Arabidopsis thaliana: one gene and its partners. The protein of the gene in region 1 interacts with the protein of each later gene in a pairwise test. Each region holds a gene or a part of one and is shown in the gene's direction. Other genes may lie near its edges.

Region 1 (7,819 bases):
GGATTAGGATTGTTCAGATTATAAGACCAGATTTCTAAATAGTATGACAACTCCGAAGACCAGATTCTGAACCTCTTCCATTAATTGAACTATTTGGTTAAATAAATCAAACTGTTCTATTTGTTTCTATGATTCCATCTCTGTAAACGGTCAATGTATATGTGTGAGTCTTTTATAATTCGAATCTTCTGCTCAGATATATGAATTTATTCTCATAGATTACAAGAATCTCTGAAGTCTGACATGTGAATTTCTCATAAAATCATCACCGCAGAAGAAGAAATTATCCAAAACGAAATTTGAAGGAAAATACTAAAAAATCGAAAGAAAAGAAGAGAGATCAGAGTTTGGTTAAGAATTTTTTCGGTCACGGTTAATCTGAAACACGGACCAATTTGTTGATCATCATATCTCTCGTTTCAAACAAAACAATCAAAACAGAAGAAAATCAAATCGAAAAAGATCTAGTTGAAAACGATTAAGATCATCAGAGACTTAAATACTAATAATCACAAAGATTACTCCATCATATTGTTGCAGTATTACCTCATCACCTGATCTCAATTTTGCATTATCTATACGGACCAATACATCATAACTCGAAAACCAAAGATCTAAAGAAAACTAAACTGAAGATAAAATACGAACTTGAACAGAGAACCCTAAACTGACTTGATAAGAGCTTGATGTCTGTCAAAGTCATGTGTGGTTTGTATATAAAGGTCCCCAATGGCGGCGATTCTTAGGTTTCTCGAGGAAAACCCTAACGCTTATGGGTCGTATATGAGCTTCATAAGGCCCATTATAATAAACCTCTTTTGACCCATAAAAACCCCAAACCAATACTCAATTAGCTTATATGGATGGGCTTGACTGAAAATTTACAACTTCTCATTTTTGGTTTGATTCAAGAAAAAACAAAATATTAATTTTAAAAAAAAATATGTACTTGGAACAAAATAATTTGTAAGAAAATCTACATCTATTTAAGGCTTGAAGTCATTGGATCCTATTTTAATGGAAGACAAGATCAAAATTTATATCCTTTTTTTGGGGAGTAGATATAAACTTTTAAGCTTAATTTAGCATGTTTTGTAGTAAATCCAAAACTGGATAAAATCTAATTTCAAACTCAACTAATTCTGTTCATTTTATCTTTAAACAAGTTCAAACACTTGAAACAATAGCTTCATACATACGCAAAAGAAACAAACACACAACAAAATTGATAGAATAAAATAAGTTTGGTATTAAAGAAGATATAATCGTAACAAGATTCAAAACTTAAGTAATGACATCGCTACAAAGATCAGCTGTTTCGTTCCGACGTCAAGGTTCTTCGGGTCGTATTTGGAGTGATCAATTCATCTTAGATCAAAAAAATGGAGCAATTCTTCAAAATCATCTAGAACAAACCGGAAGAAATAGTAATGATCTTGAAGATAAAAATCCATCACAGAAATCAAGTTCTTCGTCATCTTCTTCATCACCACCTCCATACTTTTCTGAAATACGTAGAGGACCAGACATCTCATCTTCTACACGAAACAAACTCGCTTGTGGTTTATCATCACTTTTCCGACAATGTATCGGTTCTTCGGCTCGTGCTTAATTTTGTTCAATGCTTGACGCAAATCTGTACATATATTTTCTTGTTATATGAAAAATTCATCACAATTTTTTCCGACCAAACAGAGTTCTTGATAAATGGGCCTATTATTTTAAAAAGCCCAATAGATATTTGAGTGTCCGGCCCAAATTGAAGTAGAATAAAAGATAAGTTACCAATTTACCAGTAGTTAGCAGCAAACACACAGAGAAAGTGAAACATCGAAGAGACCCCAGAATGCAAAATCTCTCTCCGCCTTTTTCTCCTTCCTTATTCGAAAATTCTCAGCGTCTTTGTTGCAAACTCCTCTGAAATTCTCCGTCTTCTTCATTCGTTTTCGACTCTGCGTTCTACTACTTCTCGTCTCCTATCAGTATCATCGCAATTCATATTCAGTCTAGTGTGTTAAACCGGAGAATTTGGAGTCTCGCCGGAATTTTCCTCTGTCTATGTATGATTGCCGGTGATCAAAGCGCTTCTTAACGATTCTGTTCTCCTTTGAGAGATCTGAGTATCTGATTTCATCTACTACATATGTTTTCTCGAGAGTGATAGAAAGTAGGTCTCATACATATTTTTCCTCTGGAGGGAATTTTGATCCTCTGCTTCGTTAATTAACTTGTGATGAAGCGGATAAGAGATGATGTATATGCCTCTGGGTCTCAATTTAGACGTCCTCTTGGTTCTTCTCGAGGCCAATTGTGAGTTTCTCTAAATTCACCCTTCAAATTTCGGTTTTGATCTTGGTTCTGTTTTGTGGCGATTAGGTTTTCTATAATTCTGCATGGAGAGTGACAAATATTTGTTATGAATTGAGTAGTTTTAAGTAATCGATTAGAGATGATTTGGTGCAGATGTGGACAATCTCCGGTCCACGGCAGTGGTGACACCGAAGAAGAAGAAGAAGGAGGGAGCCGGAGAGTCTCTCAGAAATTGACAACCAATGATGCGTTGTCGTACCTGAGGGAAGTAAAAGAGATGTTTCAAGATCAACGCGAGAAATATGACAGGTTCCTCGAGGTTATGAAAGATTTTAAGGCTCAAAGGTTAGCTCTTTCACTCTCTATCGACTTCAAAGTTCAAGTAAGTTTTAGTAGGCGGCATTGTATTAATTCTTCGTCTTGCATTTTCAGAACCGACACAGGCGGTGTGATCGCAAGAGTTAAGGAATTGTTTAAGGGACATAATAATTTGATTTATGGATTCAACACCTTTTTGCCTAAGGGATATGAAATTACGCTTATTGAGGAAGACGACGCTCTGCCAAAGAAGACTGTTGAATTCGAACAAGCCATCAATTTTGTGAATAAAATTAAGGTGCTGTCGAAATCTTGGTCTTATATTTCTCTTTTGAAGTGCGCTTACATCTTGTGTCTCAATGTACAAGTTTCTTTTTTCTCACTGCAGATGCGATTCAAGCACGATGAACATGTCTATAAATCTTTCTTGGAAATCTTGAATATGTACCGAAAGGAGAACAAGGAAATTAAAGAGGTGTACAACGAGGTAATATACTTCATCTCACCTGTAATGCCACTCCAAACTTTTTCTAACCTTCGAATATCTATGCTCCAGGTATCTATTCTTTTTCAAGGCCACTTGGATTTGCTTGAACAGTTTACTAGGTTTTTGCCAGCGTCTTTGCCATCTCATTCAGCAGCGCAGCATAGCCGGAGTCAGGCTCAACAGTACAGCGACCGAGGATCAGACCCTCCTCTACTTCATCAAATGCAAGTGGAAAAGGTTCGTTTGATCTTTGTTTCATATTTTTCCTTGTTCTATTTTTTGCCACGTATCTCAATTTTGTTCCCGCTACAACTTTTTATCACCAGGAACGCCGACGAGAAAGGGCTGTTGCTCTCCGCGGTGATTATAGTGTTGAACGTTATGACCTTAATGATGATAAAACGATGGTGAAGATTCAAAGAGAGCAGCGGAAGCGCCTTGATAAGGAGAACAGGGCAAGGAGAGGCCGTGATTTGGACGATAGAGAAGCAGGTCAAGATAACCTACACCATTTTCCAGAGAAAAGAAAGTCGTCCAGAAGAGCTGAAGCTCTTGAAGCATATTCTGGTTCTGCTTCACATTCTGAGAAAGACAATTTGAAAAGTAAGCTAACTCCTGTGTCAAACATTTTTTTATTTGCTTGGTACCTTTTCTATTTTTTAAGAGTCCCAAACATTGGACACCTTAATTCTTTCTCTTTGAGAGAGAATTTATTTTCCAATTTTGGTTGCATGGTGATCTTTAAGGTGCGAAGATCTGCTTCTGTTTTCTAAGATGTTTACTTTGTGTTAGGTATGTACAAACAAGCATTCGTTTTCTGTGAGAAAGTCAAGGATAGACTATGCAGCCAAGATGATTATCAGACATTCTTGAAGTGCCTCAATATTTTTAGCAATGGAATAATCCAAAGGAAGGATCTGCAAAACTTGGTATTGCAATTTGTGATCAGGGGTTGATCTTGTGGTAACGTTCAGGAAGTTGTATTAAATCCCATTCATTTTCTTTCAGGTTTCTGATCTTCTTGGGAAATTTCCTGATCTGATGGATGAGTTCAACCAGTTCTTCGAGCGGTGTGAGAGTATTACTGGTACTGAAATACGTATTGTTATTTTAATAGTTATTACATATCAGCAATCTTCTTCTTTCTGACGGTCATCCTCTTTTTGTAGATGGATTTCAGCGTCTTGCTGGTGTTATGAGCAAAAGTATGCTGCTATTTTAAACTTCCCAGCTGTGAATAATATTGTCTCTTTCCCTCCTACTTTGTAAAATCTTTACTGACATTGCTGGTACACTTGGCAGAATTATTTAGCAGCGAAGAACAGTTATCCAGGCCAATGAAGGTGGAAGAGAAAGAAAGTGAACACAAGCCTGAACTCGAGGCTGTGAAGGAAACTGAGCAATGCAAGAAGGAGTACATGGGAAAATCTATTCAAGAGCTCGATCTCTCTGATTGCGAGTGTTGCACTCCTAGCTACCGGCTTCTGCCTGCGGATGTAAGCTTCTATTTCCAAGTTGCATTTTGAGCATGTTCATTGGATTTTTACTTACTGTAATATTATATTTGCAGTATCCGATACCAATTGCGAGTCAGAGATCGGAGCTAGGAGCTGAGGTTTTAAATGATCATTGGGTATCTGTCACTTCCGGAAGTGAAGATTATTCTTTTAAGCACATGCGCAGAAACCAATATGAAGAGAGCTTGTTCAGATGCGAAGATGATAGGTATTTATATTGACAACATACATATTATAGTTTGAAGTAATTGGTCATTTATGTTAATTACTGCTTATAACAGATTTGAGTTGGACATGTTGCTGGAATCTGTGAGCTCTGCGGCCAGAAGTGCAGAAAGTTTGTTGAACATCATCACAGAGAAGAAAATAAGTTTTTCTGGCTCCTTCAGGATCGAAGACCATTTTACGGGTCTGTATGCTTTTTTGGGACCATTTTACAGTTCGTAGTTATATCTTCTCTCTTCCCCTATTTAGGTGTCCTCATATGTTTGGTTATTAACTTTACCATTTTCTTATTGACATATTTACAGCCCTAAATTTAAGGTGTATTGAGCGACTTTATGGCGACCATGGTCTTGACGTGATAGACATATTAAATAAGAATCCAGCCACTGCACTTCCTGTAATCCTAACTCGTTTAAAGCAGAAACAAGGTGAATGGAAGAAATGCCGTGACGATTTTGATAAGGTCTGGGCGAACGTATATGCAAAAAACCATTACAAGTCACTTGATCACCGCAGCTTCTACTTCAAGCAACAAGATTCAAAGAACTTGAGTGCAAAATGTAAGTAGACTTATAGAAGTCGTAAGAAGATTTATATTCAAGTAGTTCCTTTATCCTGTTTTATCGCTCACATACATCCGGCAGTGCTATTTTTCCTTTCACTTATTCCTTTCTCATTCTGTTTTTTTATTGCTTCGTGAACCAGCATTGTTGGCTGAAATTAAGGAGCTGAAAGAGAAGTCTCAGAATGATGATGATGTTCTGTTGTCTATTTCTGCTGGTTACAGACAACCTATAAATCCTAATCTTGAATATGAGTATTTGAACAGAGCTATTCATGAAGACATGTTCAAAGTAGTCCAGTTTTCATGTGAGGAGTTATGTTCTACAAAAGAACAGCTCAGTAAAGTTCTGAGGCTTTGGGAAAATTTCCTGGAGGCAGTGCTGGGTGTTCCTCCCAGGGCCAAGGGCACAGATCTTGTTGAAGATGTTGTAATAAACCCCAAGACTCTCGATGTGAATCACAGCACATCTCCTAACGGGGAGGCTGCTGTGAGTTCTGGAGGAGACACAGCAAGGTTGGCTTCTAGGAAACTTAAATCTGCTGCCAATGGAGATGAGAATTCTTCATCTGGGACATTCAAACATGGGATAGGTTTGTTAAATAAAGATTCGACAGGGAAAGAAAATCTTGAAGATGTTGAAATAGCTAACAGAGATGGTGTTGCCTGCTCTGCTGTGAAACCTCAGAAAGAACAAGAAACTGGAAATGAAGCCGAGAAAAGGTTTGGAAAACCTATCCCAATGGATATTAGCGAAAGAGCAGCCATCTCGAGTATATCAATCCCAAGTGGGGCAGAAAACAATCATTGTGTAGTAGGCAAGGAAGTTTTGCCAGGTGCCTTCCAGATTTAAGCTATTTAATTTTATTTGTGCTGCTTGATTATTTGTGTTGATATTTGTTACTTTACAATTAAGGTGCACATGAGATTCAAGCCAAACCAAGCGACACCCTCACTGATATTCATCATGATGTAGATAGCATTGAAACTGTTCATTCGACTCAGGTACTAGTACTACAATCAATTGCTCGTTGTACCATATTTACACCATTCAGTTGCTCGTTGTACCATATTTATATATTCGCCTAAACCCACTATTACCTGGAGGTTTCCATAGCTTAGGGATGTAAAAATTTACAGTACTACCTATGGGACCCAGGGGTGTAAAAATTTAAAATGTGTCTTATATTATAATTATGCTTTCCGGACCCTTCTGACTCTGTCATATTACTAGGGAGGTGATGTTGGCAATTCGATAGTTTTGGCAAATGGATTAAGGTCAGATTCTTCTAAAGGTACTAGGAATTCTGATGATCCCGAAGGTCCCTCCAGAAATGAGAAAGAGGAAGGTGAACTGTCACCTAATGGTGATTTTGAAGACAACTTTGGTGTTTACAAAGATCATGGGGTGAAGTCCACATCCAAACCAGAGAATTCAGCAGAGGCTGAAGTAGAGGCAGATGCTGAAGTAGAGAATGAGGACGATGCTGACGATGTTGATAGTGAAAATGCTTCCGAGGCATCTGGAACTGAATCTGGTGGCGACGTATGTTCTCAGGACGAAGATAGAGAGGAGGAGAATGGTGAGCATGATGAGATCGATGGTAAAGCTGAGAGTGAAGGAGAAGCGGAGGGAATGGATCCACATCTCTTAGAAGGAGAAAGTGAGCTGCTTCCACAGTCAGAACGTGTTCTCTTATCCGTCAGACCCCTTTCAAAGCATGTCGCAGCAGTTTTATGCGATGAGAGAACAAAAGATCTCCAAGTTTTCTATGGGAATGACGACTTTTATGTTCTTTTTAGGCTTCACCAAGTGAGTTACCTAATTATTTATTGAAATTGATTCTCTCTAGCAAAGATAACGTGGTGCATTTTCAGATCCTGTACGAGAGAATTTTGTATGCAAAAAGGAATTGCTCAGGCGGTGAACTGAAATCGAAAAACTTAAAGGATACCAATGCCGGAGATCCTTATGCGAGGTACCTTCCTTTGTACAACTTTTTATACTAGCCTATGTAGATAATCATATACATGTTGTTCCCATCAAAATCTGATCTGTGTGTTGTACAGGTTTATGAGGGTTTTGTATGGTTTGCTAGATGGATCAGCTGAAAATACCAAGTTTGAGGATGAGTGCAGAGCTATAATTGGAAACCAATCATATGTGTTATTCACGTTGGACAAACTGATTTACAGATTGGTTAAGCAGGTGTTACTCACACTAGTGGTTTAGGACAATTTTTTTTATGTTATCGACATTATGTTACCTTCCTTGTGATGTTCTAATATTATCCATCTGCAGCTTCAAGCTATTGTAGCCGATGAAATGGACAACAAGCTGCTTCAGTTGTATGAGTATGAGAAATCCCGGAAACCAGGAAGGGTTATCGACTCAGTGTA
Region 2 (7,726 bases), on another chromosome or scaffold:
GAATCTTCTCTCTTAGAGGAAGCTTTGCTCTTACCAGCCTTATCAGACTTCTTCTTCTTCCTCGAAGTATCCAAAGCAGCAAACAAGTTGGTGTTCTGAATCGGCATCGATCCCTCATCTCTCCTGTTTCCACCACCAACCATCTTTTTTCTTTCCTCGATCACCACACAATAAGTCACAGAGTGTTTTCTGATAAAAACCCAGAAACGAAGTTTCACAATTTCAGCTGGAAGATGAATCTCGAGTAAGTTAAGGTAATGAAGGATGGGAAAGGAAAAGCTGATGAATTGTCGCTATTTTCTTAGGAAAGGATTGATCTTTAAAGCAAATCCCTTGAAACTCTGATGGACGGCGATTGAAGAAAGCGATGGATGCTATAATAACTACTAGGGTTCCAGACCCAGAAACGACAAAATGTATACTGGTGATTAATACAAGCGTATAATATAGGAAACTGAAATTGAGAGACAAAGGAGAAACAAGAGAATGTTGGAAGCTTCGGGAAGCGATTCCTATAGAATGCGAGAGAGAGATGATTAGGGTTTTCTTAAGGGATGTGGTGTGTAGCAATCGTAGCGATTAGAGCTACTGGGCTACACGACAAGGGAAGGGGATCTGTCTCTATTTGGGATGTTATCTCCTCTCTTATGGATCATCAAACCGAACATTTGATTACAAAATTGAACCGAACATTTGATTACAAAATTGAACCGAACATTGGATTAGACTGTCTAATTAAACCTTAATTTGGTTTATGAACTCAATATTAGTTTTTCCAATTAAGCCAATTTTATTTTATTTTTCTGTATTAAAAAAGCAAATTTTGGGTTCCAATATACAATCCACCCGCCAAAATATTTTGTCAATTTTTAACGTATTTTTGAATCGAAAAAGGAATTTCTGAACTTTTATTGTTTTTCTTCTTGTGTTTATACATTGCTCTAAATCTTATGATACGTTAATAATGACCTTAATTCATATTTATAAGGAAACCAAATCTATTTTTTAAATATTCTTAAAGCTTAGTTTACACTATATAATTAATCAAAAATTGATTCCAATCAATCTCTCTACTACTAATTCTTTTTGCTATATGTCTATATTTAATAAAAATATATATTTAAACACATAATAAGGTAGTAATACACTAATACTTAAATATGGTCCGAAAACTCCTAATAATATGTATATATATATTTTTACAAAATATTGGAAAATTGTTAAGCTAATGGATGAATGAAGTTTATATATTAAAAGAAAATAACAATAATATATATATATATATATAAATTATTAAAAAGATAATACTGTAATGTGATGATTTTATACTTAAATTATCCCCTAGTATTCTAGTAATAATAGTTGTTAAGTTGAATGATGTCTCTAACAATTGTTGGCTAGGTGGACAAACACAAGATTGCGGTAGGTTAGCAACACACGTGACAACAATAAATTATTCTCTCTGAAGAAATCTTTAAATCCTGACCGTCCAAACAAATATTTCGCAGCTGAGAATCTCGAACGTCCATTATATCTTTTCTGTTGCAGAGTTAAAAATTTAGTGCTTATTTCGAAACTAAATATGGACCGTAGATATAGTAACGCGTCTCCATCGGACGGTACCCGTGATACGATGTTTATTTGGAATATGTTTTCTTTATAACTGAAAAAACCTTACTCTCGCGGAACCAGACGAAACCCTAGCTCTCCCGTTTCTCCCGGTTAAAAAAGAAAAAAAAAAGAAGCAAATTTTGCTTTTTTTATTTTCGGCTAAATTGAACGAATACTTTTGGGAAATTTTCGATTGTTTGATTTAGGGATCCGATTCGCAGTCCGATTTACCGAAACCCTAATTTTGATTTTGGGATTGTGGCGACTATAAAGGTCCTTAAGAGACTCGATTTCGTCTGATAAAGTGATGCAGGTAGGCATGCAAATTTCTCTCTTTTTTTTTTTAATTTTTTGCAGTTAAATTTTGCTTGATTGTTGAAAAAACAATTGCTTGGATTTCAATGCAAAGTTTTTTCCTGAAGTGGGATTTGATCTGTTTCTTTGGGTGACTTGTGTGTTCTTCTTTTATCATACTTTGGGTACTTTTTGTGATTCTGGGTTTGGTTTTGGTGTCACAGATCTGAAAAATGTTTGCTTGCGTATATGATGGAATTTGAGACCTGCTGGCTTTTGATTCTGGGTATTGGTTCGAGGTGGCTTTCATGGAAAATAGACTAGGTAACTCTAATGGAGTGGGAATTTCGAAGAAATCCAGGTCTTTAGATCTTAAGACGCTCTATAAGTCTAGCATTTCCAAGGATTCAGTGAATAAGAGCTTTAAAAGAAAACATAGGTCTGGGATTGATGGTGATCAGTTGAAGCAGGACAAGAAGAGCAGGAAAGTTGTTTCTCTAAGTAGTTTTAAGAAAGTAGGTAGCCAGAACGAGAGTATTCTGGATAAGGCATGCAATGGCACCACTATATTGCACAATTTGGAGGACTCCAAGGAGGTGGGTTTGGATGAGAAATTGTGTGACAGTAATGGGCTTCAAGTGATTTCTGTTGGTTTGGCAAGTAGTACGATTTATGTTCCTAGACGCAGGAGAGATTTTGTTGGGAGGAGTAGGTTTGAGAATGGCCTAGCACAGAAGTCTGCAGGGGAGTCTGATAGTCAGGAGGAGCTGGTTGTTAATATCCCTAAGGTTACTGCTGAAGAATCTAGTGTTCAGGATCAACCCTCTAAAGTTGAAGAGAAGGACTCTGACAAAGATATCAAAGAATCTAATTCCGCAGCTCCGTTGCAGTTGGAAAATGGGCATTCTAATCAGTCTCCAGTGAAAGATGATCAGCTGGTTGTTGTTAAACAAAGAAATAGTAACAGCAGAAAAAGGAAGTCCTCAGCATCAAACAGACGCGTGGGAAAAGAGGCCAAGTCTTCAGGTGATGCTTCTGGTAGAATATCCAAGGTATCACGGGAAGATGATGAGGAGAATCTTGAAGCTAATGCTGCAATAATGCTGTCTTCACGGTTTGATCCAAACTGTACCCAGTTTCCTTCAAATTCTGTTACTCCTGGTTCACCATCTGCGAGTAGATTGCATCCATTGCCTTCTGGTAAGAATTCAGTTGATCCTCGGTCCGAGTTGCTTAGTTCTAAATGTGTCTCAGATGACACTGATGATAGAATGTTGCGACCAAGGAGACATAATGATGATGGGAAGGGTAAAGTTCGGAAAAGACGCCACTTTTATGAAATTTTGTTTTCAGATGTGGATTCACACTGGTTGTTAAACAAAAAGATTAAAGTTTTCTGGCCATTGGATGAGAGATGGTATCATGGGTTTGTGGATGGTTTCGATGGAGACAAGAACCTGCATCATGTAAAATATGATGATCGTGATGAGGAGTGGATCAACTTACAGGGTGAAAGATTCAAAATTCTGTTGTTTCCTTCTGAAGTTCCTGGAAAAAATCAGCGGAAAAGGCGTTGTTCAGAGTCAAAGTCTACTCAGAAAGTAAAAGGGAATGATACTTCCAGCAAAGACGAGGAGAAGCAGAAGGAAAAGCTAGAAGATGATAGCTGCATGGAATCAGAGCCAATCATCACATGGTTGGCTCGGTCTAGACATCGGGACAAATCCTCCACTCTTAAGGCTGTACAAAAGCGGAAAAAAACTGACGTAATGACATCTAATGAATCTGTTAAAATGAATGGGGATGTCACAGATAGATCGGCTAGTTCTCTTGCATCATGTGGATTACCTGGACCAAGTAAAAACGAGTTGGAAAGCTCTGGTTTTCGGAATGGTAGCATATTTCCTATTGTCTATTGTAGGAGAAGACTTCATACAGCAAAGAAGGATATCTACAAAGAGTCAGGTTACAATAGTGTTGAGTTTTTGAAGCAGTTTCTTGTATCAAAAAGTCCGGATCCTGGTGTAGAGTTTTTGCCTATTGAAGATTCTGGGGATCTGGAGCTTTGTTGCCCGTGGAATGAATCAGAGCAATTTGAGTTGTCCCTCAGCCTACAGGGTGTTTCCTTGATGAGCTACTTTCTTATGGCCGATGTTGACTGGCTTTCACGTGCTGCTCTTTTGCTTCGTCATGGTACACTTGTGACTTTGTGGCCAAGAGTTCGTTTGGAAATGATTTTCCTGAATAACCAAGATGGGTTAAGGTATCTAATTTTTGAAGGCTGCTTAATGGAAGTTGTTCAATTGATTTTCCGTATCTTGATGGTAGTAGATCATTCTAATAAGCAAGGAGCACAAGGAGCGGATGCTGACTTGCAGTTGCCAGTTTTCTCAATTGGTCTCCAAGTTTCTTGCATCCCAGGTTTCCAAAGGCAGCTTGGATTTCAAATCTACAGTTTCCATGAGGTGAAACATTCAAAGTGGTCATACTTGGAACAGAATGTCAGGAGACATTCTTTGCTGGTTAAGCAAGTATCAATTGCAGAGTGTACTCACAATAACATGAAGGTCCTGCAGAAGGTACAGTGATTCTTTAATGAATGTTCTGGTACATTGCTTCGTTGGTTATACTTTTATTTCTATTATCTCATACCAATTCGTTTTTTTTTTTAATCTTGCACATCAGGTTATGCAGAAGAGATCTAGGCATGGAATCAGCTCAGGCCTTGTTTCTAGAGGATCATCATCTGCTGAAGCGTGGCCCACATCTGTTTGCTACAAGAAGCAAAATACGTCTCCATTTGCACTTCTTTTTACTGCTCGGCCACCTACACTGTTACTCAGTTTACACTTGAACATGATAAGGGAGCTGGGTCATGATTCAGCAGACTTCCTAGGAATAGAACGCGATTTGGTAACACATAGAGGTTGTGATATGGCAGATTTTACAAATGAGCATTCTGAACTGTCTCTCAAGAGTAAGAGCCAAACTGATGAACCAATTATCACTTCTTCCAGAGCGCAAGAGTCAAAAGACCTTCATACTCCGTCTCAAAGTCAGCAGCTGGGGTCTGATTCTGAAAACTGGATGTCATACAGTTCTTCTGTTGTCAGACATAAGCATGAAACCAGGTCTAATGTTTCGGTGAATGGGATTAGTATTCAAGTTCCAATATCTGATGATTGTGAGGATGGTACTCCGCAGTCAAGTAATCTGGCCTTGAATATTCAAGGTAGTAGCAACTCAAGTCCAAAGGCCACTGCCCCAAGAAGTATGTGGAACCGAAGTAAAAGTTCTTTAAATGGCCATCTCTCGCATGGTTGGTCGGATTCAAAGGGAGACTTTTTGAACACTAATTTGGCAAATGGACCTAAGAAGCGACGTACCCAAGTGTCTTATTCATTGCCTTCTGGGGGTTCTGATTCTAGAAACAAAGGTTCCCTGCTCAAGGGGATGCCGAACAAAAGAATTAGAAGGTCTACCGCTGATGTTACCAAAGGTATTCAGAAAGATCTCGAGTCTAGTTTATGTGATGCCAATGTATTAGTCACTCTTGGTGATAGAGGCTGGCGAGAATATGGAGCTCAGATTTTCCTGGAACCTTTTGATAATAATGAATGGAGACTTGCGGTAAAAATCTCAGGGACAACAAAATACTCACACAGGGCACATCAATTTCTGCAACCTGGGTCAGTGAATAGGTTTACACATGCTATGATGTGGAAAGGTGGAAAAGATTGGACCTTGGAGTTCCCTGATAGGGGCCAGTGGTTCCTTTTTAAAGAGATGCATGAAGAGTGCTACAATAGAAATACTCGGGCTGCTTTAGTTAGAAATATTCCTATTCCTGGCATCCGCATGATAGAAAGGGATAATTTTGATGGAACAGAAACTGAATTTATTCGCAGTTCTTCTAAATATTTTCGGCAGACTGAAACTGATGTTGAGATGGCATTAGATCCTTCACGTGTTATGTATGACATGGACAGCGATGATGAGCAGTGCCTTTTGAGAATTCGTGAGTGTTCGAGTGCTGAGAATAGTGGCTCTTGTGAGATCACTGAGGACATGTTTGAGAAGGCAATGGACATGTTTGAGAAGGCTTCATTTGTAAAGCAGCGTGATAACTTTACCTTAATCGAAATTCAAGAATTGACGGCTGGAGTTGGATCCTTGGAAGCAATGGAAACAATATATGAGCTTTGGAGAACAAAGAGGCAGAGGAAGGGAATGCCATTGATCAGGCATCTTCAGGTACAATCTCTGATGCCTTTTCATCTTTTATTATTTATTTGGTTTTCATGTTTTTCTTGAGATTTAAAAATCTGCATGACTAGGCTCAACATAGATCTTTTTGGAATCGGGGGAAATGCAGAATTGTGGACAATAAGGCTATGTCTAGTAGTAGGTATTACTTAGTGTTCTTTTCAGGATATTGAATGATGTGGGTGTTTTATGCAAATGGAACGTCTATTAGGGGGAAAATTGCATCTTTTTGCATTCCAGTTTGTTGTGCACGAAGATGTCTGGAAGTCCATAACTGTAGCATCTTCTATAGTCTGTTGATTTTACTCCTTGTTGATTAGTCTTACTTGCTAGCTCAACAATAATGTAGTTACTCTGCTGCAATATTTTTAATTTTGCCTAACGTAAACACTTGTTTTCTACCCTTGCAATTCAGCCACCTCTATGGGAAAAATATCAAAGGGAGCTCAAAGACTGGGAGTTGGTTATGAGCAAAGCAAACACTCCAAATTCCTGTGGGTCGCAGAAGAAACAGTCACCTACTGAGAAGCCAGCGATGTTTGCTTTCTGTTTTAAGCCTCGAGGTTTGGAAGTCAAACACAGGGGAACAAAACACAGGTCACAGAAGAAACTCTCAGTTTATGCTCAACATAGTTCTGCTTTGGGAGATTATGATGGCTGTAATTCATCAGGTAACTCGTTTTTACCTGCTTGATATTCTATAAATCCTCTATTGACTCTGATTTTTCAAAATGAAGTCTGTGTTTAATCCAACTTTTCCATTTCTCTAGCAGGAAGAAGACCTGTTGGTTTTGTCTCTGGCGACGAGAGGTTTTTATATTCAAATCAAAGCTATGAGCACTCGAATGAATTTTCTGTACATCCAGGAACATATTCCCCTCGTGACCTAGGCATGGGATATTTCTCGAGCGGTGGAAATGGATATCATAGGAATCACCAAAACAAGTCGCAAAGAATCAATGGGAAGAGGAATACGAGTGAACGATGGGATGCAGGCTATTCTGAATGCCCCAGTTCCAATCTTGTCTGTTACTCCAACGGATCTCAGCGTCCTGATGTGGAAGGAATACGGAATAGTACAGACATTGATGAGTACAAATTGCGAGATGCAGCTGGTGCTGCAAGGCGAGCATGCGCTTTGGCGAAGCTCAAGCGGGAAAGAGCAGAGAGTTTGAGGTACAAAGCAGATCTAGCGATCCAGAAAGCTGCAGCTGCTCTCATGTGTGCAGAGGCAGTTAAAGCTTCTTCCGAGGACCTAGGCAACAACAATGGGGTAGAAAGCTCAAGCGAAGGATGAGTCAATAGATACCACTCTTGTTAAGTCTGGGTATTGTCACCTCTTGAGCAAAAGAAGAGATAGTGATTCGACATGTCCTGTTCAACACACGAGCTGGTCTTGACACGAATTAAAAAACGACCCAGATGAGCTCCACTGTACAGAAATTTGCCTCCCTCTGCTTTAAGTAAGCTATATTTTGATGCAGCAATAACACCGAACTGGGACTCTGAAACTTGATCTCATGTACCCATCGGCTGGGAATGTTCTTAGTAGGTT
Region 3 (5,913 bases), about 17 Mb from region 1:
ATTTTAGCTTTTTAAATATAATAAAGCTCGTATTGACAAAGCTAACGGATAAACCCTTATTATTTTGACTGGTTAATTGTTATCTCAAAGAAAAAGTATTTAACATCCTGACTTTAAATTTAGAAAAGTTCATCGACTATTTGTGATGTCCCTTCAAAAAGATTAAAAAACCATAACAAAAGTTAAATGTTTCTCTGGGTTGTACAAATGTTAGATGTTAACTGGACCAGATCACATATAATATAAGAAAATGAACCTGATTAATTCTCTTTACTGAGCTAAATTTTTTACTGACAAGTCTATCAAATTTTACCATCATACTTAAATCCTCAAAAACACATAAACTATACAGTACTTTTTTCTTATTACGTATTTACTATTCTATGCATGAAATTGCGTAAATGTTTGGTTGTATGCATATTAGAATATTCTTTTTATTTTTCTCTCCAACAGATTTAATATTGAACGGTGGTGTTCGTATGATATAAATTCAAAACCACCCACCTTTTATCCTTTCGAACTTTTTCGAGATAGGATAAGATGACATAATTATTTTATTTGTAATTTAGGAAAAGGGGTAGGCCTTTTTTTTTTTCTTTCAAATTAATGATTGTGGGGCTAAAAAAAATAATTTGTGTCCAACACAGGATATAATATTTTGAAACTTGAACGTAAATGTTGACTTTTGATTTTTTTTTCTTCTCAGCTTTTGTTAAATTTAAACTCGTTCCCTTATCAGATTTATTAAAATGGTGAGTGACGAAAAAAAAAAAAATGGTGAGTGAAACGTTAGAGAAATCGACGTATGAAATGAAATTATGAGAGTGTACAGAGAAATATTTGAACAATACTTAGAGCTGACAACAAATTCAAACACTGAATTAGTTCTTGAAGACAAACTCGCTCTTTGCTATAGTTGAGGAGAAGAATCCCACATACTCAATTATAGATCGAGAACGAATCTTTACGTTTTAGTTTTCTTGTCACATTTACTATGTAAAATGGTTCATATTATTATTAAATTTTCATTTATTTTCAAAATAAATTTTTTACAAATATATATATATTTTAATATGATGTTAAAGGTTTTTGTACATAAATTACCTTTTAATTTTGTTTGGTTTATTTAGAAATCAAAATGTAATTTATTATCTACCTAAAAACACGGTTCTTTCAGTATAAAAATTTACAGAATATAAATCATTAAAAGCAAATAACTAATTAGTATTGTATTAAAAATTAAACACTTATCTAATAATACAAAACTTTTGTTCTAAAACATGAAAACGGAAGAAGTATGTTTCTTTTAAAACTATGAAATTCATATACCATATTCAGTTTTATTTAATATCATTTAATATGAATCGACTACCTCATAATTATACAATATAGCAAACTAGGGACCATCTTATCTTTTACGTGATTCCTAAAACATAAATATTTATGGGAATGTTGCCCAAAAAAAAAAATATATATATATATATATTTATGGGAATTTTATCATTTTCTTCCTATTAAGAAAAACCTCAAAAATAAAAATATTAAAATACAAAAGGAAAACATAAAAGCACAAACGAATATTCCAAATATAAACTAAAAATAATACTCATAAACCCAAAAATACATTTTTCCTTTCCCGAAATTCTTTTTTTTGTTAATATTATTATCATGACAAGACGAAATTTACTCAAAAGGCTACGAACCAAAGCCATGTGATGACTACATCAGTACCACGTGTCAAGATCTAAGGACTTAACGAGTTACGAGTGTGTCGTGGGCCATCGACCATGGAAAAGCAACGAGTCTTTAGGTGAATGTTTTACTTGCTATAACCGGTAACAACGGGTCTGGTAATACCGGTAGCTCCGGTGGTTGGTTGAGTTATATGGCTATGGGGGTTTAAGCAAGAAAGACGTGGTCGTGTTCTTCTTATAAGGGTTTTTGTTTATAATTTGGTAATCGAAAAAGAGAGATTTGATAAAATCCTTTGTGTTGAAGGAAAAAAAAATCATATAGGTAACGTTTGATACAAGTAAAAAAAAAAAATTTCCATCACTTTCTTGGGTAAAAAAAACATGGGTTAGAGGAAAAACTGGGGAAAAGATTTTAGATTAAGTGCGTAAAGAATTCTGATTCCTTCGTCTCCGATCTCTCATTTTTCTGGAGAAATTGTCAAAAATTTCAGATATCTATATTGTCTTGGAACTGAAGATTCATCGAAAGGTGAGAAAGATTTAAACTTTTTTTGATGGTTTTTGTGTTCTCGATTTTGTCAAAAGTTTTTGTGTTTGTTTGATCATCGAGAAACTTAGTAAAAATTCATTTTTTATGTGAATTTAGATTTGGAATTTTCAAATTCAAGTTCTTTTGGTTTGGATCTTAAAAGGGTTTTTGTTATCTTTTTGAACTTATCATCATCTTCGATTGAAATTTTTCGTTTTCTTATATGATCAGAATCATCTCATTCATCGATCTGTGAACTCCGATCTGAGAATTTGAAAGTGTCTCTCTTTTTGTTCTAAGTTGATCTGTTTATCCTTTAATTCAAAGATCGAAGCTTTTTTATAATTGAATTACGTTTTGTGTTCTTCAATTCGGATCTTGTGTTTATTAGGGTTTTAGAATGGTTTATCAGATTTGATTTGATATTACCGATCTGTGATTCTTGAATTGAATTGAGTCTTCTTATGGTTCTTGTTTCTTATATACTACAGATTGGTGAGTTTTATTCGCTGCTTATCGCTTGTGGCAATCACATCATCTGTGTTATGCATCCAAGTAATGGTGTCACATAAAGTCTTAGAATTTGGAGATGATGGTTACAAATTACCTGCTCAAGCTCGAGCTCCGAGATCACTCCGGGTAAATGACCCTTTGCTATATTCTCTGTTTAGCTGTTAAAGAATTTATCAGTTACATGAATGATCACTCGCATGTTTGTTCACATTTTTGCTAGAAGAAGCGCATTTACGAAAAGAAGATACCAGGAGATGATAAGATGTGCGCGATTGACTTATTGGCCACCGTAGCTGGAAGCTTGCTTCTCGAGAGCAAAAGTCCGGTAAACGCGTGTCTAGTTGTACAAAATACTGTAAAGAATGAATACCCGGCTGATGAAAACCCCGTAAAGGCGGTTCCTTATTCGGAATCCCCGAGCCTATTTGACAATGGCAAGTGTGGATTTAGCTCTGTGATAACAAATCCTAATCACTTGTTGGTAGGTGACAAAGTAGGAAAGGAGGTGGAGGGTTTTAGTAGTTTGGGTGTGAGTGGTGATGTAAAGCCTGATGTTGTAGCTAGTATAGGTAGTAACAGTAGTACCGAGGTGGGAGCATGTGGGAACGGTAGTCCCAACGAGTCTCGGGATGATGTAAATTTGTTTAGTAGAAATGATGATGATGAAAACTTTTCGGGTTACATTCGAACTCGTATGACTAGGCCTGTGCCTCGTATTGGAGACAGAAGAATTAGGAAGATATTGGCATCTAGACATTGGAAAGGAGGTTCGAAGAACAACACAGGTAAAATCGCCTTTTGTTTTAGTTTTGACTATCTTTATTATTGTGATTTGATGTTTGGTATTTGCAGATGCAAAGCCATGGTATTGCTCAAAGAGGAGTTATTACTTGCACCATCATCAGAGGAGTTATCCCATCAAGAAAAGGAAATACTTTGACAGTGTTTACGACTCGAACTCTGATGATTACCGTTTGCAAGGAAAGACTCATAAAGGTCCAAAACTTGTAATCTTCTCATTCTCTTGTTAGTATGTTGTAAGTCTTTGCTGTTGTAACACGGTTTTGCAAATTCATCCGCAGGAAGCAGAACAATATCTTCCATGAAAAGTCGAAATGCGTCCTTTGTGTCAAGGGATCATCATGGTAATTTAATGGAGTCTCAAGTCTCAATCTATCCTTTGTTCGCTTATTGTTTCGTTGAAATATTTTTGTTTTGTTTTGTTACTCTTTAGTGAAGCTGCGGATCAAGTCTTTTAGGGTGCCTGAGCTTTTCGTAGAGATTCCAGAAACTGCTACTGTTGGCTCCTTGAAGGTGTAATAACAAAACCTAGTTGTGCTGAAAATCCTGATCAAGAAGAACTTATATTTGTATTTTTGTAATGTCGGGGTTGTCAGCGGATGGTGATGGAAGCAGTGACCACCATACTGGGTGATGGACTTCGAGTCGGGCTGATGGTTCAAGGAAAGAAAGTCCGAGATGATGGCAAAACTCTTCTTCAGACTGGGATCTCTGAGGAGAACAACCACTTGGATTCTCTTGGTTTCAGCCTTGAACCTAGCTTAGAGACCACCCCTCAACCACTGTTATCCAGGTTCACTCTTCTCTTCACTCTCAGAGATGCCACATCGATAAAAAATCAATCTTTTGCGGCTTAAGGGCCTTGTTTTCTCTCTGCCAGTTATCTGTCAGATCATGCCTGTGATGATGTGACGTTATGCCACGACAATGCGTTGGATTCTAGTCATGAGCCAGAACCATCCCCAGCTGACTCATTTGGGAAACTAGGCACAAGTGATCATTCTAGAGCTTTGATTCCTGTTGCCTCAGCAGCAATGCTGGCTCCTCGGCCTCCTAACCGTAAGTTTAAAAGGACTGAGCAGCAGCTAGCTGCACAACGCAGAATTCGTCGACCTTTCTCAGTTACTGAAGTAGAAGCACTGGTCCAAGCCGTTGAGAAACTCGGAACCGGAAGGTACAAAACAAAGAAATAGCACTTTCTCTTCTTCATGTTGCTGACAAAATGTGTTTGAAAACTACAGGTGGAGAGATGTGAAGGTTCGTGCTTTCGAGGACGCAGACCATCGTACCTATGTTGATCTCAAGGTTAGTTAGTTTTTTAACTAACTCTTAACCTTAATATATACAGTTTGGTATTGAGTCTTTGCCTTTGTAGGATAAGTGGAAGACGCTGGTCCACACGGCAAGGATATCTCCACAACAGCGGAGAGGAGAGCCGGTGCCACAGGAACTTCTGGACCGTGTTTTGAAGGCACACGCTTACTGGTCACAACACCTAATGCATCAACTGCAGACTGAGCCACCATCCACTCAGGTAGAGGCTCTCTAATCTGAACAGGTTCTTGGTCTAAAGAACCTTTGTGTATTATTATGATGATCCATATTGTAAGATTCTGACATAGTTGAAGATCTGGTCTCAGTTCTTCTTTGTTTTTTTTTTTCTTTCTTTCAAATGTAAAGTTTTATAATTGGAAATAAGGTTGGGTTTTTTCTAACAATGTAAAGGATTTGTTGTAAATCTTTGGTGACATTTTTATTCTGTCTATATGATTTATGGCTCGGCCTATCATATCACAACGACAACGAACTGATATATATATACCTCATCCAAACTCTAGGAGTGCTGGAGAATTCAATTGTTGGATAAATTGTTACTCAAGCTGGTCTATGTTTGGTCAGTTTATGGTTCACATGTGTCCTATATTAGGAAAGAATACACAGAAGCTTGTGCTTGTGAGTGGTATGTGTGCTATGGTATTTACCTTAAATACGGGTCGTTCAGAGTAATAAGCTGGTCTCAAAGCCTCTTTTAAAGGCTATAGCCACAAACAAAGGCACAAAATCCTGGATCTCTAACCAGTAAAGAAGTCGATGTTGAACTAAAGTTCGCAAATATTTGCAGATAGCATTGAGTAGGCAAGCTCTTCCCACTTTTTTTTTTTTTTTTTTCACTGAACTGTTGCCTTTCATTGAATATTGGAGTTTGTGAAAAAATTTAAAGCAATTAGCAATAAAATCAAAAGGATATTGAAGTTTACATTTGGACCTGGACGAGATAATAGAGGATAACGTTCAATTTATTAGAAGTTATGATGACTGATATATTTACCGATTTAAAACTAATATATTTAGCAACTTGACGCAGCAAGAAAATTA

What was found. The genes of interacting proteins can lie anywhere in the genome.
Region 2: the proteins of SNL1 (region 1) and AT4G32620 interact in a two-hybrid assay, tested with the Arabidopsis thaliana proteins (one study listed by BioGRID).
Region 3: the proteins of SNL1 (region 1) and TRFL1 interact in a two-hybrid assay, tested with the Arabidopsis thaliana proteins (one study listed by BioGRID).

What each region holds. Positions count from the first base shown.
Region 1 is NC_003074.8:104,497-112,315, forward strand, and holds the start of SNL1 (SIN3-like 1), read left to right. Parts: upstream 1-1,797; 5' UTR 1,798-1,799; coding exon of another isoform or gene 1,800-1,940; 5' UTR 1,941-2,233; coding exon 2,234-2,310; intron 2,311-2,463; coding exon 2,464-2,655; intron 2,656-2,742; coding exon 2,743-2,926; intron 2,927-3,016; coding exon 3,017-3,115; intron 3,116-3,184; coding exon 3,185-3,352; intron 3,353-3,441; coding exon 3,442-3,718; intron 3,719-3,907; coding exon 3,908-4,044; intron 4,045-4,123; coding exon 4,124-4,202; intron 4,203-4,284; coding exon 4,285-4,320; intron 4,321-4,417; coding exon 4,418-4,611; intron 4,612-4,685; coding exon 4,686-4,840; intron 4,841-4,913; coding exon 4,914-5,041; intron 5,042-5,162; coding exon 5,163-5,417; intron 5,418-5,562; coding exon 5,563-6,255; intron 6,256-6,335; coding exon 6,336-6,424; intron 6,425-6,653; coding exon 6,654-7,232; intron 7,233-7,297; coding exon 7,298-7,398; intron 7,399-7,489; coding exon 7,490-7,628; intron 7,629-7,721; and 1 more. Other genes in the region: AT3G01319 (uncharacterized protein), read right to left, coding at 1,800-1,940. UniProt on the Arabidopsis thaliana protein: Acts as a transcriptional repressor. A histone deacetylase (HDAC) activity is required for transcription repression. May play a role in telomere stability.
Region 2 is NC_003075.7:15,729,755-15,737,480, forward strand, and holds the start of AT4G32620 (Enhancer of polycomb-like transcription factor protein), read left to right. Parts: upstream 1-1,693; 5' UTR 1,694-1,924; intron 1,925-2,129; 5' UTR 2,130-2,213; coding exon 2,214-4,484; intron 4,485-4,590; coding exon 4,591-6,159; intron 6,160-6,586; coding exon 6,587-6,842; intron 6,843-6,941; coding exon 6,942-7,468; 3' UTR 7,469-7,726. Other genes in the region: AT4G32610 (copper ion binding protein), read right to left, coding at 1-143.
Region 3 is NC_003074.8:17,150,861-17,156,773, forward strand, and holds TRFL1 (TRF-like 1), read left to right. Parts: upstream 1-1,599; 5' UTR 1,600-2,223; intron 2,224-2,714; 5' UTR 2,715-2,781; coding exon 2,782-2,862; intron 2,863-2,886; exon of another isoform or gene 2,887-2,956; coding exon 2,957-3,521; intron 3,522-3,588; coding exon 3,589-3,732; intron 3,733-3,818; coding exon 3,819-3,881; intron 3,882-3,970; coding exon 3,971-4,050; intron 4,051-4,133; coding exon 4,134-4,330; coding exon of another isoform or gene 4,331-4,394; exon of another isoform or gene 4,395-4,417; coding exon 4,418-4,711; intron 4,712-4,778; coding exon 4,779-4,842; intron 4,843-4,912; coding exon 4,913-5,086; 3' UTR 5,087-5,380; downstream 5,381-5,913. UniProt on the Arabidopsis thaliana protein: Binds specifically to the plant telomeric double-stranded DNA sequences. At least 2 repeats of telomeric sequences are required for binding. Induces DNA bending.